2 linked regions of the Saccharomyces cerevisiae S288C genome follow. The protein of the gene in region 1 binds, or shares a complex with, the protein of each later gene. Each region holds a gene or a part of one and is shown in the gene's direction. Other genes may lie near its edges. The genes, in order: RPT1 and HSM3.

Region 1 (10,707 bases):
CCACCAGACTGTCCCTTATGAAACTTTGGCAATAAAGGTGGTATACATCTTTTCTGCGCCAACTTTATCAATTCTCTATGAGACAATTCTGCTAACATTTCCAGTGATACGGTAGTGATCGTATTGAACTGGTGTTGCTAATAAAATTTCACCGACGCCTATATACCTATTTACACCTTTACATATATATCTACTAGATCACGTTGCAAGACCCATCACATCGCATCACATCACATCACTCCCTATTCTGCCCTTTACAGCGCAAAGGAGTCGTGTGTGGGTGTGTGCTCCTTTTGACGATCATAAGAGTCCATTTCTAGTATGCAAGCTGGTAACAATAGGTGAATGAATTAGGTTCATTTGCGATGACCTTCAGTATCCCTCCACGCAATGCTAAACTATCCCCCTCATTATGACGCCTATATCGTATAAGGAACTTGTTACCCCTGACAATTCAAACTTCAAAGGTCTAAGACCAAACAAGCGTAGGAACTATCGCTCGGAGTGTTTCTCCGTTTGAAAAAAGAAGAGAAATAAGGGCCCTTGATTGGTGTCTTGTCGAGAGAGGTACGTATATAAGAATGCAGTTTGCTCGCAATGCCCGCTTGTGTTAAGTACTCTTACCTTTTCCCTCAATACTAACGTTTTGAAGCAGCCAAACTAACAATAGTATAACGTATATAGGTTAAAATAATATTCCAAGTCAAAAACATGTTTTCCAGATTATCCAGATCTCACTCAAAAGCATTACCGATTGCTCTAGGTACAGTTGCTATAGCAGCTGCTACCGCATTCTATTTTGCAAACCGTAACCAACATTCCTTTGTCTTCAATGAATCTAATAAAGTGTTCAAAGGTGATGACAAATGGATCGACTTGCCAATATCTAAAATAGAGGAGGAATCCCACGACACCAGAAGGTTTACTTTTAAGCTGCCTACCGAAGACTCAGAAATGGGGTTGGTCCTAGCATCTGCTCTGTTTGCTAAATTTGTCACACCAAAGGGATCCAATGTGGTGAGACCATACACTCCTGTGAGTGATCTTTCCCAGAAGGGTCACTTCCAGCTGGTCGTCAAGCATTATGAAGGTGGTAAAATGACCTCACATTTATTTGGTCTTAAACCAAATGACACCGTTTCTTTCAAGGGTCCTATTATGAAATGGAAGTGGCAACCTAATCAGTTCAAGTCAATCACCTTGTTAGGTGCCGGTACCGGTATCAACCCTCTGTACCAATTAGCTCATCATATAGTTGAAAACCCAAACGACAAGACCAAAGTTAACTTGCTATATGGGAACAAGACTCCTCAGGACATTTTACTAAGGAAGGAACTGGATGCGTTGAAGGAAAAGTATCCTGACAAGTTCAATGTTACTTACTTTGTTGACGACAAGCAAGATGACCAAGACTTTGATGGTGAAATTAGTTTCATCTCCAAAGATTTTATTCAGGAGCATGTTCCAGGTCCAAAGGAAAGCACACATTTGTTTGTCTGCGGTCCCCCACCATTTATGAACGCTTACTCAGGTGAGAAGAAGTCACCTAAGGACCAAGGTGAATTGATCGGTATCTTGAACAATTTGGGCTACTCCAAGGACCAAGTTTTCAAATTTTAAGCATGGAGGAAAGTAATTGATATTTTTTTTAATTTCGGATCGTTCAAATTAGTAAATATATAAAAAATATATATATATTCATGTGTATGACTAAAAATTCTCTCAAGAAGGCTTGGCTTTAAGCTCTAATTCCGTCTGCATTCGTAATAGAAATATCTCTCAAGTCATGAATTTAGAGATAAATGCTTTAGTTTGTCGTACTTCATCTTTCTGAATATCTAAGGTGTATGCAGGAATGGCATAATTTTCCCAATCAATATCCCTTCCTTCCTCTCTATTAGATTGAGACAGTTCTATCCAATTGACGCTATTAAACGGTTTATTGCTTAGGAGATTCTTATTTTTTTGACAAATTACCAAATTATTGATAAATTCAGGATCCCAGAACATACGGTGATTCTCGTCCTTCCACGAAGCATGCGATGTATCCGGTTCTATTTCCAGAATTTCTAACCAACGTCTTCTTGGCAGGCACTTGTCCAACGCCAAGAACCGTGTCTCGCCGTATTTGGAATCATACTCATTCTCTTCTTGGCAATTCATAATACCAGACCTTTCGTCCTCGTCACTGGATAAATCCAAATCTATTTCATTATTGTTTTTTTTTGTCTTTGAAGTTGACTTATTAGGCGGTTCGTGGCTTCTTTTATTATGCTTAATGGAGGCCATGAACCTGACATGCAAATGGGCGCTCAACCACCATTGAGGCCGCAAATCTCTTAGTAGTTGCCAGGTCACTGGGCTGCCTAGTTTTCCCTCTTTAATATCTTGCTCAAAAAAAGGCTTAAGCTTCAACAAGTGCTTAGTATCGCCATGATAAACGACTCCATTGGGCCAATCGTGGCTCAGCATAATATCAATACGATGCTTGATCATAAAAAGAGGAGCAATATCAGAAATTCTTACATGATACAGATTTCTTATGTTAGCTTTCCAATTGTTATTTTCTAGGTCATTCCAATCTGGTCGTTGCTTATTGAAATCCCACTCTTTCCATATCCCGCTCAATGAACCTATCCTTATGCCTTTAAACCATATAACGTTAGAGTATCCCATATAAAAAATGTTCTTTGCTACATAACCACCATGTGGCAGAAGCATTAAATGTCTCATCGATTCATGATTACCGCCAATAAAAATAGTAGGGACTGGGGCTTCAATCTCATTATTGTAGTATGATATGAAATCACCGAGTCTTTGATATTTTGGTGGTATGGCTATTGACTTAAAATCCTGACCATCACGAATACTTTGAAAATCTCCAAGAATAATTAATAGATCGATGGGAGTCTTCGCATGGATTCGTGACACTTCTTTATAAATTTGGTTTAGCTGACCATGACAGCACCCTTGTACAGCAATTCGCAATTTAGTCATAAGCAAAATGATAAATGTCTGCCCATCTTAATTTTTAGTTACATATTTACGTTCGCCATATGACTTTCTCCTGCTCATTTTTTGTGAGGGCCAGAAAAACACACATCTGGCTAATGAGAAAAAAAATTGGAGAACTAAGGAAATGCCTCGATAAAAAATTGAAAGTAATAAATAAATAAATAAATAAATAAATAAATAGTAAGTTAATAAATAACTAAATAAATAGAGTATGTATAAGAAGAAACTTTATGTAAATGTATATTAATAGGTATATATACAAATTAGTGAGTCAGTGGTAAAAAAGTGCAAACGCACAAAAAAAGTGCAATTAAAGAAGAGTATGATATTCTTTTCCGTAAAATACAATGAGGTTCAAATTAGTAGGCTCTTACAGTTGGAGGTACGGAAGGACATTCCTTTTCGTCCAAAGTGTGATCGATAACCCTTCTGTATTTCAAAGTCACTGGGGCAGCGACGTCCTTTTGCCAGGATAATGTATGCTTCATCCAATGTTCGTCATCTCTATTTGGATAATCCTCTCTTGCATGAGCACCACGGGATTCCTTTCTATTAGCAGCGGAAACAGCTGTTTGGGAGGCACAGGTTAATAAGTTCTGTAGCTCCAGAGTTTCAACCAAGTCAGAATTCCAGATCATTGATCTATCGGTCGTCTTCACATCATCAAAGGTCTTCTCTACTGCAGTAATGTTCCGAACACCTTCATCTAAAGATGATTGTGTTCTAAAGACGGAAACATCCTTTTGCATAGTTTGTTTCATATTCATTCTAATTTCTGCCGTAGATCTTGAACCATTAGCATTTCTTAGTTTATCCAAGTTTGCGATGGATTCTTTACCCAAATCAGAAGGTAGTGGTTTGTGTGGCAACCCAGGCTGTAAAGTGTCAGCAACCGTATGGGCAACAGCACGACCAAAGACAACAAGATCCAACAAGGAATTGGCACCTAATCTATTGGCACCATGGACAGAAACACAAGCGGCTTCACCACAAGCCATTAAACCGGGAATAACCTTGTCTTCGCCAGTTTCTTCATCAATGGTTAATGCCTCACCATTCCACTTCGTGGGAATACCACCCATGTTATAGTGGACGGTAGGAATAATGGGAATAGGTTCCTTGGTGACGTCTACACCAGCAAAAATGGCTGCTGTTTCAGAGATACCTGGCAATCTTTCCTTTAGAACTTCCGGAGGTAGATGGCTCAATTGTAAGTACATGTGGTCCTTTTTCTTACCAACACCTCTGCCTTCTCTGATCTCCATGGTGATTGCTCTGGAAACGACATCTCTACAAGCTAGATCCTTGGCCGTAGGAGCGTAACGTTCCATGAATCTTTCACCTTCAGAATTAACCAAAAAACCACCTTCACCACGAGCACCTTCAGTGATTAAGCAACCAGACCCATATATACCTGAAGGATGGAATTGAACAAACTCTAAATCTTGCAAGGGGAAACCAGCACGCGAAACCATGGCATTACCGTCACCCGTACATGTGTGAGCAGAGGTACAAGAGAAGTATGCTCTACCATAGCCACCAGTGGCAATAATGGTCTTGTGTGCTCTGAATCTGTGGATGGTACCGTCTTCCTGATTATAAGCGATGACACCAACGACCTCGCCATTATGGGTCAACAGATCGAGGGCAAAGTACTCAATAAAGAAATGTGTGTCATGTCTTAAAGCTTGGCCATAAAGCGTGTGTAAAAGAGCATGTCCTGTCCTGTCTGCGACAGCGCATGTTCTATAGGCCTGAGCACCCTTACCGTACTCCTTGGTCTGACCACCAAAGGCTCTTTGGTAGATCTTACCGTTTTCAGTTCTTGAAAAAGGAACACCATAGTGTTCCAGTTCAATGATCGATTTGGGCGCTTCCCTGGTCATGTAATGGATGGAGTCCTGGTCACCTAGCCAATCAGATCCTTTCACAGTATCGTACATATGCCATTTCCAGTTATCCTTGTGCATATTTCCCAGAGCGGCATTGATACCACCCTGAGCAGCAACAGTGTGGGATCTGGTGGGGAAAAGCTTGGATATACAAGCAGTCTTGTAGCCCGCCTCGGCAAGACCAAAGGCCGCTCTAAGGCCGGCACCACCGGCACCGATTACCACACAGTCATACTCGTGATCTATTATGTGGTACTTCCCGTCTGCAGATCTGGACGCGGAACCGTTTACAGAGCCCTGCGTTTGGCGCACCAAAGCTGACGATGTAAATGTTCTTGTGTTTCTGAGCAAAGTCAACTTGGAGAGCGCTGATTTTTTTAGCGATAGCATCTTTATTCTCGTTCTTCTTCGTACTATGAAATTGGATTTTTTTCTTTCTTTCTTTCTTTCTTTTTATCTTCAATAAGGGGTTGGGGAGGAGATTAGTGAAAAGAATATCGAAAGTGCAAAGTATACTACTGGTTAGTTATAATGTGTCTACTAGTTTATTAGTGCTATTTAAGCTTCAAGCCGCCTCGACGTGGCAAAAGGTTAGAGTCGAGGATGCCTGAATATATAACGGGTTTGAGCAAACAAACAACCAATAGAAGAGGCCCGGATCCCTTGGTCCAGCGCTTGCTCGGCGCCGCGTTCTGCGCTGTGATTGGTCCACCCCCGCCCTCAAAGCCGTGACTCCATAACGACTTTCCAGCGAGCTTGGTACCTGGCAATAGAGGATGATCCTCACCTCCGCTACTTTTGGGAGCTACTTTTAGCACGGAAAGGTATATTTTGGACTACTGTATGAGTAAATCCTTATATAGACGACATTATTACTAAAGGTAGAGCGAGAGATAGTAAAAGGGTTGGTTACCCGGTCGGGCCTTTTTCTCGTATTATCATTTGTGCTCGTGAGGCTATGAAATAAGAAGGATCGATGGTCAGTAGTGAAAGAGTGGGAAGCAAAGTTTATTAAGAAGCGTATAAGGGATTGCATCGCGGATATGAATGGAAAAGAGGTTTCAAGTGGCTCTGGAAGAACGCAGAGCAACAACAACAAAAAAAATAACAACGGAGGCAGTACAGGAATCTCGCATGCGTCTGGCTCACCTTTAACGGACGGCAACGGTGGCAATAGCAACGGTAATAGTAGAAGTAGAAGCAGAAGTAGAAAATCTAGTGGAACTACAGGTGGTTTGCTAAAAAAGCCGCCGCTGCTTGTGAACAATGAAGCGGTGCATGCTAGCGTACCCGACGCGTCGCACACTTCCTGTAACAATGGCACGCTTGAAGTGAGCATAAATAACCCTGAGCCACATGTGGTAGATGCCGTGGCACGCCACTTGATAAGAAACCCGAGTAACAGCCTACAATTGCAAGGCGGAGACATTACAAGAGATCTGTATAAGTGGACAAACGACCATCCTTCATCACCATCGCAGTATCAGTACCCAAGTCAACCTGCACTTTCCACCTCAATACCTTCACAAGCGCCCTCATTCTCGAATCGTAAAAGGTCTATGAGCTTTTCTGCCGCTTCTATAGCATCTTCCTCTCACCTTAACAACAACTCGGAGGCGAATGGGAATCCTCTAGCGGCAATAGGCCTGGCGCCCGCACCGATGACGCACGAAGAAATCAGGGCTCCTGGTGGATTCAGAAGATCTTTTATAATACAGAAGCGCAGGAAACATAACGTTGATGCGCCCATACCGAATTTTTTCACCAGGAACTTTATTGAATTTTTGACCTTGTATGGCCACTTCGCTGGTGAAGATTTATCGGAAGAAGAGGAGGAGGAGGAAGAAACTGAAGAGGAGCCAGAGGAGGAAGCTTTGGAAACGGAAAGCACCCAGCTAGTTTCTCGTGAACACGGGCGCCATCCTCACAAATCATCTACGGTAAAGGCGGTGCTGCTCTTGTTAAAGTCATTTGTTGGGACAGGTGTGCTTTTCCTACCAAAGGCTTTCCATAACGGTGGTTGGGGATTTAGCGCCCTTTGTCTACTCTCGTGTGCCCTCATTTCTTATGGATGTTTCGTATCATTGATTACCACCAAGGACAAAGTAGGCGTAGATGGGTACGGTGACATGGGTCGTATACTATATGGGCCCAAAATGAAATTTGCCATTCTTTCGTCTATCGCCTTGTCACAAATCGGGTTTTCTGCTGCATACACTGTTTTCACTGCAACTAATTTGCAGGTCTTTTCTGAAAATTTCTTCCATTTGAAACCGGGCAGCATCAGTCTAGCCACCTATATCTTTGCACAAGTACTCATCTTTGTCCCACTATCTTTGACAAGAAACATAGCCAAGTTAAGTGGGACCGCGTTAATAGCAGATCTATTTATTCTACTGGGATTGGTTTATGTTTACGTTTACTCCATTTATTATATTGCTGTTAATGGTGTCGCATCCGATACAATGCTTATGTTCAATAAAGCGGACTGGTCGTTGTTCATCGGTACCGCCATATTCACCTTTGAAGGTATAGGCCTACTTATCCCCATTCAGGAGTCAATGAAACACCCGAAGCATTTCCGGCCATCGTTGTCCGCGGTGATGTGTATCGTGGCAGTGATTTTCATATCATGTGGTCTCTTATGCTATGCCGCTTTTGGATCTGACGTGAAAACTGTTGTTTTATTGAATTTTCCGCAGGACACTTCCTATACTCTCACTGTTCAATTACTGTATGCATTAGCCATTTTGTTATCCACGCCGTTGCAGCTATTTCCCGCGATACGTATTTTGGAAAACTGGACTTTTCCCTCAAATGCATCTGGTAAATACAACCCGAAAGTCAAATGGTTGAAAAACTATTTCCGTTGCGCTATTGTCGTCCTGACATCTATCCTCGCTTGGGTAGGCGCCAACGATTTGGACAAATTTGTATCACTGGTAGGCTCCTTCGCGTGTATCCCATTGATCTACATATACCCGCCATTGTTGCACTATAAGGCGTCCATCTTATCTGGAACCTCGAGAGCCAGGCTTCTTTTAGATTTAATCGTCATAGTATTTGGAGTTGCTGTCATGGCCTACACGTCATGGCAGACGATTAAAATGTGGAGCCAGTAATCCGCCATTTTTGACCGAGTACATCATGTACAGACACATATATATATATTTATATATGACTCGTTATCTATATGCATCTGGAACACACATACCTTGTTTTAATTATGATTAGCATAAATGTACTATCCTTGTCAATTTGGTATGGCTGAGTTTACCCGGACGAGAGGAAAAGGTATAGTGAATAGGATTACCGAATTTTGCCACCCGAAAACTAAACTAGCATGCAGCTTACTATACAAAGAACTGGGTATATACAGTATTTTCCAAGGAGATGAGAATTCAAAGCAATATTCAATTGAGATATTTTTTTGAACCATCGTAATAAATCAAGGAAGTTAGGAACTATACGGAATGCCACCAAAAGAAGACTGGGAAAAATACAAGGCACCTTTGGAAGACGATGATAAAAAACCTGATGATGACAAGATCGTACCCTTAACAGAAGGTGACATTCAAGTCTTAAAATCATACGGTGCAGCTCCATACGCAGCCAAATTAAAGCAAACTGAGAATGACTTAAAAGACATTGAAGCGAGAATCAAAGAAAAGGCCGGTGTGAAAGAAAGCGATACAGGGTTAGCACCCTCCCATCTATGGGATATTATGGGTGATAGGCAGAGACTGGGCGAAGAACATCCCTTACAAGTCGCTCGTTGCACGAAGATCATTAAGGGGAATGGTGAAAGTGACGAAACTACGACAGATAATAATAACAGCGGCAATAGCAATAGTAATAGCAATCAACAGTCTACTGATGCAGACGAAGACGATGAAGATGCCAAGTACGTGATAAATCTTAAGCAAATTGCCAAATTTGTCGTCGGATTAGGTGAACGTGTTTCTCCAACAGATATAGAAGAAGGTATGCGTGTAGGTGTCGATAGGTCGAAATATAATATTGAACTTCCATTGCCTCCAAGGATTGACCCATCAGTTACTATGATGACCGTTGAAGAAAAGCCTGACGTTACTTATAGCGATGTCGGTGGCTGTAAAGACCAAATTGAAAAGCTGAGAGAAGTTGTCGAGCTGCCCTTATTATCTCCAGAAAGATTTGCTACTCTTGGTATTGATCCACCAAAGGGTATCTTATTATATGGGCCACCTGGTACTGGTAAGACATTATGTGCTCGTGCTGTTGCTAATAGAACTGATGCAACTTTTATTAGGGTCATTGGGTCTGAGCTAGTGCAAAAATATGTCGGTGAAGGTGCTCGTATGGTTAGAGAATTATTTGAAATGGCTCGTACCAAAAAGGCTTGCATTATATTCTTCGATGAAATCGACGCTGTTGGTGGTGCTCGTTTTGATGATGGTGCTGGTGGTGATAATGAAGTTCAAAGAACTATGTTAGAACTGATTACACAGTTAGACGGGTTTGACCCTCGTGGTAACATTAAAGTGATGTTTGCCACCAATAGGCCCAACACTTTAGATCCAGCTTTATTGAGACCCGGTAGAATTGATCGTAAGGTAGAGTTTTCATTACCTGACTTGGAAGGTCGTGCAAATATCTTCCGTATTCACTCTAAATCAATGAGTGTGGAACGTGGCATCAGATGGGAACTTATCTCCAGACTGTGTCCAAACTCTACCGGTGCAGAATTAAGATCTGTTTGCACAGAAGCCGGTATGTTTGCCATTAGAGCAAGAAGAAAGGTGGCTACTGAAAAGGATTTCCTGAAGGCTGTTGATAAAGTTATTAGCGGATACAAGAAGTTTAGTTCCACATCGCGTTATATGCAATATAATTGACGTCAATGTACTTTTTTATTATATATTATGAGAAGGGTTAATAAAAACAACAAGTACAACTACAACTATCGAGATAAAAAGGATACGAGAGTATCCCCTCAAATAGAGAAAGAATTAGCGTATATAATGCTAAAGAAAATTCACGTTTATTATATATTATTATCCTCATTATTACTGTTACTATTATTATTAAATGTTTTATTGAAGTCAGTGGCGTCCTTATCTATCATTCCCACCAACTAACGAGTCCCATGCCATCAGTTTGACAACTACCTAATAGGGCATATGCTGGAGGTTTTTCGTTTTGAGGAGTTTCTTCATTCTTACCCTCAATCTCATTCTCTAATTGAGCTCTTTCCTCCAATTCTCGTTCTTTGGGTGATTTTGGCTTCACATCAACAAAAACTTCTCTTTCGATTCTGAATCTAATTTTTTCATTTACATCGAAATATAGTTTCGTCTCTTCATCCATGGGCCAAATCCATGCACTTTCTTCAGGGGTATAATAGCACCCTTCGAATAACATATTTTGTGGGATAAAAATGTCATCAAATATACCTAACAGTGAAACTTTTATGCCTTCTGCTGTACATTTAGAAATCCATCCAGTTACTATCTCACCTAGAAACGGTTTGAAAACAACGGCTCGAAATGTAACGTTAATATAGGATGATCCATCGCCTGGCTTCAATTGGCCTTCCTCGACGGTTAATAAGTCGTAAATCGTAATACATAGACCGACATTGGGAATAATCTTGTTGGCGAACTTATTATTTAACTGATGTGTGATTGCCGATATTGTATCGCGATGGAATTGATCGGGCGGGATTCGTACCAAGTCAGCGATTTTTGAAAGGATAAACATATTACCTTGTTCAATGAATTTTCTAATTTAAATAGTACTACAGAATGTCTTTATACTA
Region 2 (10,439 bases), on another chromosome or scaffold:
ACCAGCAAACCATAACAAAGGAAGATGGAAAAGGGCAAGTTGAACATGTTCAAAGACAGGAGAACCAGGAAAGTATGAATAAAATCAACAGTAAAAGTTTTACGCAAGACAATATTGCACAGTACAAGAGCGTGAAGAAAGCCCGTCCTAATAATGAGGGTGAAAACAACGATTATGCTTGTAATGTTGAACAAGCCTCTCCAGTAAGGAATGAGGTGCCAGGAGACGGCATTCAGATCCCGAGTGGGACTATACTTCTCAATAGTTCAAAGCAGACAGAAAAATCAAAAGTTGATGACTTGCGTAGTGATGAAGATGAACATGGAACGGTTGCGCAAGAGAAACATCAAGTGGGTGCAATAAACAGTAGAAACAAAAATAATGACAGGATGGACAGCACACCCATTCAAGGCACTGAAGAAGAATCTAGGGAAGTTGTTATGACCGAAGAAGGTATCAATGTACGCTTAGAAGATAGTGGAACATGCGAACTTAATAAAAATTTGAAGGGACCGCTTAAAGGAGATAAGGATGCCAATATTAATGACGATTTTGTACCTGTTGAAGAAAATGTCAGAGATGAGGGCTTTTTAAAATCAATGGAACATGCGGTATCTAAAGAGACAGGTCTAGAAGAACAACCCGAAGTTGCTGATATTTCAGTGTTACCAGAAATTCGTATACCCATTTTCAATTCTTTGAAAATGCAAGGGTCAAAGAGCCAAATAAAAGAGAAATTGAAAAAGAGATTGCAAAGGAATGAGTTAATGCCACCAGATTCACCTCCTCGAATGACAGAAAATACAAATATCAACGCGCAGAATGGCTTAGACACCGTACCAAAAACAATTGGTGGAAAAGAAAAACACCATGAAATTCAATTAGGCCAAGCCCACACAGAAGCAGATGGCGAACCTTTGTTGGGGGGAGATGGTAACGAAGATGCTACATCTAGGGAAGCCACACCTTCATTAAAAGTGCACTTTTTTTCAAAAAAGTCGAGAAGGTTAGTGGCCAGATTGAGAGGGTTCACACCGGGCGACTTGAACGGAATATCTGTGGAAGAAAGAAGAAACTTGAGAATTGAATTATTAGATTTTATGATGAGGCTCGAATATTACTCAAACAGGGATAATGATATGAATTGATTGTTAGTATGTAGAATAGATCAAAATGGCAATAAATTAATTACAATAATAAAATCTCTCGAAACAATATATAGTTACGATGACACACTAGAAATCGAGAGAGATATATAATAAGTAGAAAGAATTTTTTTTTTTTTTTGATCAGTGCATCTTAACCCTTCTTTTGTCTCCATTTTTTTCAGTTGGGAATTAGGATAATATCCCTACAGATAGTTGAAATTTTCTTGAACAATCTTCTCCATTCTAAAGGATCACCAGTTTTTCTTTCAAATCCGACACTTTTCAACTCTTCTTCAATCTTTATGATGGAAATGCTACCGCATAATTGATAACCCCCATTACTTTTGGTTTTAATATTTATAATAAGTGGGAAAACGTTATCATAACCCAATAATTCGCACAATCTTTCAAAATTCGCAAAAAGGTCGGGTTTTACTCTAATTTGTGATAAATTCAAGGCTTTCTCCAAAATCGGTAACAAAACATCCATAGGTTGCAACGTGTAGAACTTGGTAAGTTTATTCGGATTAAATTGTAAATGTCGTTTTACTAATTCATTACAATCATTTTCATCAGAATGAAACTGTAAGGCAGCGATATCATAGCTTATGAATTGCGTCCACTTAGCCTCTTGTGTCATACCTGTTCCGCTATTATAGTTCGTATTTGAATCATACGAGGTAAATGCACGTTGTGTATTCGAAACTGTCTGGAAATGCATTGAGTCGTGTTCAAGCTCAGCCAATTCGTTACCAATTGGCTGAGTAGAAATGTACCTATTATTAGAGTTTGTATCTTGAGTGAATTTCAAATAATTTTCGTTACTCAGTGAGACTTTTAAGTGAGAAAACAGTTTCTTAGCCAAGAGTTCAGGGTCATTACAGAGACCATCATCCCCAGAAAATGAAGCTCGACGTAATACCCAAGGATGTAACTTTAAAGCCTTCAATGTCACCCTCTTATTTGGGTCAGGTTGTAAAATTTTTCGGAGTAGGTTCAAGTGAGTAAATTCTATCTTTGACCAGGGTCCCCAGTTTAAATTTCCATCATTTTCAATAAAAAAGACGAAATCTTCGTTCTCTAATGAAGGTAATTCCCAAGGCGTTTGACCAGTCAACAATACGAACAAGAGGATGCCAATAGACCATATATCTGTTCGATCTGCGTAATAACCCTCTTCAGAATATAATACTTCAGGAGCCATGTAGGGTGGAGAACCCCTTTGATCCATGGATACACGTAATGTACCATCTTTCCTCCTAAATTGAGAGGCGAGCCCAAAATCAGCTAGCTTCAGATTTCCGTTCTTATCGAGTAAGATGTTTTCAGGCTTGATGTCTCTGTGAGCAACTCCACATTCTACATGCAGATAATTAATAGCACTAACGAGCTGTTGAAAGTAAAATTGGGCCACGTCGGAATCAACTCCAACGTCAGGCTCAATCTTATCAAATAGATCACCACCATCTGCCATCTCCAGAATTATCCACATATATTCTTTAGAGACATTACAATCGATAAGTCTCAAAACATTAGGATGCTTAGAACACTTCGATTGCAAAACAACCTCTTTTGTGATATCCTTGTCACTGAGTCCCATTTTTTTGCAAGTGGGAACATGAATGAATTTAACAGCTAGAATAATGGAGGGATCCATTTGAAGATGAGCATTTTTAACGCAGGCGAATGCGCCTTGGCCTACTGTATCTCCTAAAACAACATCCTTGATATGGGGTAAAGGTGACACCTGCGAGAGACTCATAGTAATACGTGCTGCCCATATACAGCAACTTATGATATACTCTTATGTTTGAAGCTGTAGTTGTTTTTATTTGCCATTCAATTATTAAAATGACATTTAAAGCCGCTCTTTATTAACTTCGGCAGGCCTCGTAGTAATGTTGAAAATTTAAAAGGGAGCTGGGTTGAGGTTGAAAGCACTTACAAAGAAGCAAGGATAGCTAAACCAAACAGCCGTAACCAAATGTTAGAAGCACTGTTTAGAGATTCTGTGGAAGAAGCAATAAACGATTCCATCAAGGAAGGCGTTGTGCTGGCCGTTTACAACACTGCACGGGATGACCAGTGGCTGAAAAGTTGGTTTAAAGGAGATGATGTCTCATTAGATACTTTAGCGGAACATAGTATTTGGTTGAGGTTGGTCAAAGACACTGAGCAGTTCCAGTTATTTGAGCAAGTATTTCCTAATGTAGTTGTACCCAGTATATACTTGATACGTGCTGGAAAGATAGAATTGATTATTCAAGGCGAGGATGACCGACATTGGGAGAAGTTGCTGGCGTGCATAGGCATCAAAGACAAAAAGGCTGGTGAGAGTTCGTCCAGGGAAACCAATCCAGGTTTGGCTAGAGAAGAAAAGTCATCCAGAGACGTCCATAGGAAAAATGCAAGAGAACGGATTGCTGAGACTACCTTAGAGATCCAACGTCGTGAACAACTGAAACAAAGAAAGCTGGCTGAGGAGGAAAGAGAAAGAATTATAAGACTTGTTAGGGCAGACCGTGCAGAAAGAAAAGCTCTTGATGAAACTCATCACAGAACCCTTGATGATGATAAGCCATTGGATGTTCATGATTACATAAAAGACGCACAAAAACTGCACAGCAGCAAATGCGTCTTGCAAATCAGGATGACTGATGGCAAGACTCTAAAACATGAGTTCAACTCGTCTGAAACATTAAATGACGTTAGAAAATGGGTGGACGTCAACAGGACAGATGGAGACTGCCCGTACTCATTCCACAGGGGCATTCCCAGAGTGACATTTAAGGATTCTGATGAATTGAAGACGCTAGAGACACTAGAACTAACTCCAAGGTCTGCATTATTACTTAAACCACTAGAAACTCAAAACTCGGGGCTATCTGTGACTGGGATGGAGGGACCAAGCCTTTTGGGCCGTCTTTATAAGGGATTCTCTACGTGGTGGCACAACGATAAAGATCCTGAAGTAACATCACAACGTGAGGAAACATCGAAGCCGAATCGTCACGAAGTGAGGTCTTCAACACCTTTATCTGGAGCTGCTTCGTCAAGCTGTTTCCAATACAACAATGTTCGGGAACCAGTTCAATCATCTGCTCATGCATCACCAATGCTGACACCTAGCGGAACCAGGTACCCATCGGAAACCAACCTTACTACGTCACGTTCTGTCTCGCCAAATGTTTTCCAATTTGTTAACAACGATCATCAAGAAGATCCTGAAGACCCAACAACCTTTAATGGTAATAATGTCCATTTAGAAAAGAAAAAGGACGAAGATAAAAAATAAGTAGTTAATGGCTTCAACTCCATTTATGACTAGTATTAGACGTGAATTTTTTTTGATTAGATTACATAAAAAAATATACAGTAATTTTATTTACATGGATTTTTGTTATAGCTGGTATTTTTATATCTTTTTTTCTGTTTCAAATGCATATAGAAAAATTGAAGAGTAAGTTTATATAAACACCTTAATTACGGGATTAAAAATAAAACAAGTTTACAACTATAATCACCGCAAAAGAACTCAGCGAAACAGGAGCAATGAGTGAGAAAGAAACAAATTACGTGGAAAATCTCCTTACGCAATTAGAAAATGAACTTAATGAAGATAACTTGCCTGAAGATATCAACACACTATTAAGGAAATGTTCTTTGAATCTTGTGACTGTTGTCTCCCTTCCAGATATGGATGTTAAACCACTACTGGCTACGATCAAGCGTTTTCTGACGTCTAACGTATCCTATGATTCATTGAATTACGATTACCTTTTGGACGTTGTGGACAAGCTTGTTCCCATGGCTGATTTTGACGATGTTCTAGAAGTTTATAGCGCGGAGGACTTAGTGAAGGCCCTTAGGTCAGAAATAGATCCATTAAAAGTAGCAGCATGTAGAGTCATTGAGAATTCGCAGCCAAAGGGTTTATTCGCGACCAGTAATATCATCGATATTCTATTGGATATTCTATTTGATGAGAAAGTGGAGAATGATAAGCTCATTACAGCAATCGAAAAAGCGTTGGAAAGGTTGAGTACAGATGAATTGATTAGGCGTCGATTATTTGATAATAATTTGCCATACCTGGTGAGCGTAAAGGGTAGAATGGAAACGGTTTCTTTTGTCAGATTAATTGACTTCTTGACTATTGAGTTTCAATTCATCAGCGGTCCTGAGTTCAAGGATATCATATTTTGCTTTACTAAAGAAGAGATACTGAAATCCGTTGAAGATATCCTCGTTTTCATCGAATTGGTTAATTATTATACTAAGTTTTTGCTGGAAATACGAAATCAAGATAAATACTGGGCTTTAAGACATGTAAAAAAAATACTGCCAGTATTTGCTCAACTTTTTGAAGACACGGAGAACTATCCTGATGTCAGGGCCTTTTCTACAAATTGTCTTTTACAGTTATTCGCAGAGGTGTCACGAATTGAGGAAGATGAATATTCTTTATTCAAGACTATGGACAAAGATTCTTTAAAAATTGGGTCCGAAGCAAAATTAATAACCGAGTGGTTGGAATTAATTAATCCGCAGTACTTGGTAAAATATCATAAAGATGTGGTCGAAAACTATTTTCACGTCAGTGGCTACAGCATTGGAATGTTGAGAAATCTTTCAGCAGATGAAGAATGTTTCAATGCTATAAGAAACAAGTTTAGTGCTGAGATTGTCTTAAGACTACCGTACTTAGAACAAATGCAAGTAGTAGAAACCTTGACGAGATACGAATACACTTCAAAATTTCTGCTCAATGAGATGCCAAAGGTGATGGGCAGCTTGATAGGTGATGGGAGCGCAGGTGCTATTATAGATCTTGAGACTGTGCATTATAGGAATTCTGCCTTGAGAAATTTACTGGACAAAGGTGAAGAAAAGTTAAGTGTATGGTATGAACCTTTATTGCGAGAATACTCCAAAGCAGTTAACGGAAAAAATTATTCCACAGGCAGTGAAACTAAGATTGCAGATTGCAGATGATTATGTTGCATAAGCGCAACTATAAAGGCGGCCTTGATTGTTTAATGTACTACCAGTATTGATTCCTGTCTGAATCAAAAACTAACCTTTTGGCGAGGTGGCCCATTCAGTTTTCTTCTCCATAAATTGTATAAATCAGTATGTAAGGTCTGGCAAGTACTTATAATTCACATTTCAATGTCTATGTAGCATGCATGATTTTTATTATAAAGAAAAACTATTCGCCTAAGCGCGTTCGTTTCTTTCCCACTAATTGCGAACGATTTGCCTATATAAATACTTAACGGCACCCCAATCATCCACACCCTCTGAATGCCGTTCTTCAACTACTTTTAAATCACTCTCTTTTAGTAATAATTTCAAAACCTCTCGTTCTTTGGCGTATTTTGCCCTTAAAGGTATTTCTAGGTGACAGGTCCCTGATGCCGCCAAAAACTTCGATATCATGTTAACTACCCATTCCGGATGCTGAGGCGAATATATCGGGTCGGCGATCAATATGACGTCAAATTCATTTTCATGTCCAAATTTATCTATAAAATCGTGAGGATTAGTCCAATCTAATATCTCTGCTTGAACGAAATCTCCTAAATTATTTAATGACACATTTTTCTTCAAATTCGTCACAATCTCGGGTAAATCCGTCACGAAGATTTCTATATTTTCAGTTCCATAAAGTTCTTTCCATTTTAAGGCCCATGAAAGTCCTACTAAACCAGTGCCCGCTCCTAATTCTAATACTTTAATCTGTTTGATGTCGCTGTTCGCTAACATGTTCACATTAGTGGTATGTAGGTAATCCAGGTGATCTACGACTAATTGTGAAAGTATTAAAGATGATCCCCATGTTTTCCAACCAAGATTATCGGCCGTTAAAGAGGGTTCATGAAGCGGTATGGAAGTGCTTAGATTTCTTAATTCAAAATATCTTACTATGGATGGTTGGGCCGTTCTCCCACAGTTTTCGGATATCCTTGAGCTCAATTCCTTAAGAAGTTCTTGTATGATTTCCTCATTCAATCCGCAACTATTATTGTATTTTTTCAATACACTAGTATAGTAGCCCAACAGTAGTTCTTTGGATACTGTAAATCTCAGCATTGGGATTTTATTGCATATCTTTTCCAACGAGTTTAACCTCTTGTTAGGCCATTCTTCTGTATACCAAGTCAAAAGTCTTTTCAGCAGATCGGGTTCCAGCCCATGACTCTTGCAAACCTCCAGTACAGATTTGTTCTTCCCTGTCTCCTGATTGAAGTTTACTTGTCTATCGGGCTTCAGAAGTATTAGTATACAAAGGATAACTTCTGGCGGAGCATACTTCACGGAGGGCAGATCCAGATTATCGATAATGGTGTCATCGTCGTCACTCTCTTCTTCATCTACAGCCGTTAATATTTCGTCACGTTGCGGTGAGCAAGGATCTTTTGGCTCTCTCTCTGCTAGATTGAACTGTAAAGCCTCAACCTGGATGTCATCAGGGGTGTACAAATCGAGAGGATCAAACATAGTGAAATATCCGCTATGGAACTCCTAACTTGCATGAGTTAGATACTTGAAAAGTAATATACAGATTGCACTACTATTATTTTGTAGCTCATCGCGAAATTGAAGAAAAAATTTACGATTGGAAAAAAAAAAACTACTATCAGAAATAGGTGAACCAATTTTAATGCCTGGATAGAGCTGCATACGCTACTAGCTTAAACCAATATTGGTGTCGCCTGTTTTCCTTTACCCAATCCAATATACCACTATACTGCGAATGAAGGTGTTGAAATAATTTGACAAGAGCACTTTATCCATTTTGCATGCGACCTTTACTAGCAATTTTTCAGCGATCTTTGCGGGCTTTAAAATAAGGTCAAAATTAAAGGGAGAAAGATAGAAGACAGTAAATAAAAAATACAAACCACAATAAGCATAAGTGGCTAGGCGAGTCTTAAACTACAGAGTCAAGCAATGGCAACAGACCTAAATCGTAAAAGAAGTGCTACCTCAGGCTCACTGAGCGTCACGAACCCGAACATAAAAGCAACTAATCGCAAACCAGCTAGAGTTTATAGTGTTTCTTCTGATATAGTACCGCAAGCGCTGACACATCCCGACGAAGATGTGCATCTAAAAACATCCAAATCTCCTCATGATGCCGCTCCTAGATGGTCACAGGTGGGGTTTCAATCTATATTCCATGATGGTTCCAATGCAAGGCGCTCGACGGATTCGATTGAAGAGGAGTACAGCCAAGGCACGGAGAATAACGATGGTCACTCCGAAATAGGTTCATCAAGTAGTAACCGAATGGAGGGGAACACCACGTCTAATGATAGTTTATTTTCTTCCAACTCAAGGGGCAATAAAAGGCGACTGTCCATCTTCACCAATTCAAAAGATAATATGAGAAATCGAAGCAGGAGCGGGTCAAAAAACTACGGCACTGTTATTACCGGCACAAGTAGTAACAACATAAGTAGGAGTGGCTCTAAATTGTTTCATACGAAATCTAATATGAGTGTGAACAGTTTACAATCTTCACTGTCTACAGGACATTCTCATTCAAACAAAGGCAGTAATGTCTTTAGCAAAATGGCAAAAAAGCTTTTACCCTACAAGCCGCATAATTCCATTGGTAAAGACGACGTTGAACCCGTAGTTCCCAGCCCATTCAGTAAATTTCTGCATTCTTCATATGGTAAACATAGGTCACCCGTACAGTTTATCCATACTTCTACTGGAGGCCTTATTGACTCTGGAAAATCTGTATATTCCTTTAACCCTAGCATTAACAACAACCCTAATGATACAGCTCTATCGCTGATCCAAGATGATGCTTTCGACGCGACTAATGTTTCTTTACTACATGATTTACTGAAAAACTTGCCATCCTTGATAGCAAACTATAAAAGCTTCACCGTACAGGAGTTATTTGTTCTGGAGGGGAATATCTGGGGTATATACTGCAGCATAGTTGTGGAGCTATTTAAAAACAAGAGGGTATGGCAATTGCCAGCAAAAATAGAAGATATTGACCGGCTGCTGGAATTTTATATCACTTTGAAAACACAAACCAAGGCTGCCGTAACGCACTCAAGGTTTTTGGCCGAAATCGAGGAATTCATTACCACTTCACTTTACATTTTAGAGAACCAGATTGTGTTCAATTATGCCAATGAGGATACCGTAAATACGGCTTTGAAAAGAGTCGGCATAATCTGGAAGGTGTTTTACCAACAGGTTTACTACGACATGATGGCAGTGTTACTGCCCTTCGAGAAAAGCTTCCAAAAAAATAGTAACTACTGGCTTGACGGATATCTATCTGAACCTTCAAGGTACGCACCGTCAATTGATGTCCTTTTATTAAAGTGTTTTAGAGACTCCATCATTCTTCCGTATTACGAAAGCTTCCTACATACAAATGACGGTGCCAGTAAGAGTTTTCAAAGATATATTTTCAGCGAGGAAGAACAGAACGGCGTCACAGAGGAAGATAAACTGACGCTGCTGCAGTGTTTTGGGATCCTGAATACCATAAAAGGTAACAGCAGAAACCAAAGAATTATTGGTGAACTTCTTGAGGGCATACGCATGAGTATATAATTAAATATTTTATTTAGTAATATACAATAGTGGCATATAGATAGGTGTATTTCCTTTTTCTTGTTCCAAGAATCCGGAAAAACAGATGCTCTTTTCCGCCCTATAAAGGGGCCAATGGGGAAAGTGCAGATCATATTAACTTGCTAAAGAGTCAGAAAGAACCAAATAATAAAAAGAAGAACTAATGTTGTGCGCCATCAAAAGCACAGGTTATCGGTATCCTCGCACGGGAGCCTTAAATCTACTACGTGGACGACCATTTAATATGGCCACCCGAAAAATAACTACTGAAAGGATCCCCGGCCCTCCCAAGCTGCCAAGAGAAGAGCAGGAAGAGTTCGAAAGACTTCAGAGGATTGCCACATCGCAAGAGGCAATAGATCAGTATAATGCGCAGGCCACCGGCGATCGTACAAAGGAGAGTTTGAATTCACCGCTTTTAACCAAAAACGATATTGGGTCATTCTCGCCTGAATTTTCCAAGACCATACCTGAATTCGAAGGTGATGTTAACCCCAAGACTGGTGAAGTTGGGGGTCCCAAGCAGGACCCGTTGAGACACGGCGATTATTCGTTTAACGGAAGAGTAACGGATTTCTAGATATTTGGTCCGGCCAATTTTTAATAATACTATTCTTATTTGATGAAACTGCGTAACGTTCAATTTACTTTTCAATATGTATGTTGTTATGCTTT

The links.
Region 2: the proteins of RPT1 (region 1) and HSM3 are in contact, whole or in part, in a crystal structure (PDB 4A3V), measured with the Saccharomyces cerevisiae proteins. Residues at the interface, in NP_012777.1 of Saccharomyces cerevisiae: Asp381 (codon at 9,521), Leu382 (codon at 9,524), Glu383 (codon at 9,527), Ala386 (codon at 9,536), Arg390 (codon at 9,548), Arg403 (codon at 9,587), Glu405 (codon at 9,593), Leu406 (codon at 9,596), Ile407 (codon at 9,599), Arg409 (codon at 9,605), Leu410 (codon at 9,608), Glu440 (codon at 9,698), Lys441 (codon at 9,701), Leu444 (codon at 9,710), Lys445 (codon at 9,713), Asp448 (codon at 9,722), Lys449 (codon at 9,725), Ser452 (codon at 9,734), Gly453 (codon at 9,737), Tyr454 (codon at 9,740); in NP_009831.3 of Saccharomyces cerevisiae: Asp150 (codon at 5,148), Lys151 (codon at 5,151), Ile153 (codon at 5,157), Thr154 (codon at 5,160), Glu157 (codon at 5,169), Thr190 (codon at 5,268), Val191 (codon at 5,271), Val194 (codon at 5,280), Arg195 (codon at 5,283), Asp198 (codon at 5,292), Asp230 (codon at 5,388), Ile231 (codon at 5,391), Leu232 (codon at 5,394), Ile235 (codon at 5,403), Glu236 (codon at 5,406), Asn239 (codon at 5,415), Asp279 (codon at 5,535), Phe283 (codon at 5,547), Ser284 (codon at 5,550), Thr285 (codon at 5,553), Asn286 (codon at 5,556), Cys287 (codon at 5,559), Leu289 (codon at 5,565), Gln290 (codon at 5,568), Glu325 (codon at 5,673), Glu328 (codon at 5,682), Leu329 (codon at 5,685).

What each region holds. Positions count from the first base shown.
Region 1 is NC_001143.9:165,833-176,539, forward strand, and holds RPT1 (proteasome regulatory particle base subunit RPT1), read left to right. Parts: upstream 1-8,380; coding exon 8,381-9,784; downstream 9,785-10,707. Other genes in the region: NNR2 (NADHX dehydratase), read right to left, coding at 1-98; MCR1 (cytochrome-b5 reductase), read left to right, coding at 712-1,620; DBR1 (RNA lariat debranching enzyme), read right to left, coding at 1,780-2,997; succinate dehydrogenase flavoprotein subunit SDH1, read right to left, coding at 3,375-5,297; AVT3 (Avt3p), read left to right, coding at 5,951-8,029; DNA-directed RNA polymerase III subunit RPC25, read right to left, coding at 10,011-10,649. UniProt on the Saccharomyces cerevisiae protein: The 26S proteasome is involved in the ATP-dependent degradation of ubiquitinated proteins. The regulatory (or ATPase) complex confers ATP dependency and substrate specificity to the 26S complex.
Region 2 is NC_001134.8:742,065-752,503, reverse strand, and holds HSM3 (Hsm3p), read left to right. Parts: upstream 1-4,700; coding exon 4,701-6,143; downstream 6,144-10,439. Other genes in the region: DNA-binding protein RIF1, read left to right, coding at 1-1,148; serine/threonine protein kinase CHK1, read right to left, coding at 1,327-2,910; UBX7 (Ubx7p), read left to right, coding at 3,133-4,443; EFM2 (S-adenosylmethionine-dependent methyltransferase), read right to left, coding at 6,393-7,652; BIT2 (Bit2p), read left to right, coding at 8,106-9,743; SDH8 (Sdh8p), read left to right, coding at 9,928-10,344. UniProt on the Saccharomyces cerevisiae protein: Involved in DNA mismatch repair in slow-growing cells. Acts as a chaperone during the assembly of the 26S proteasome, specifically of the base subcomplex of the 19S regulatory complex (RC).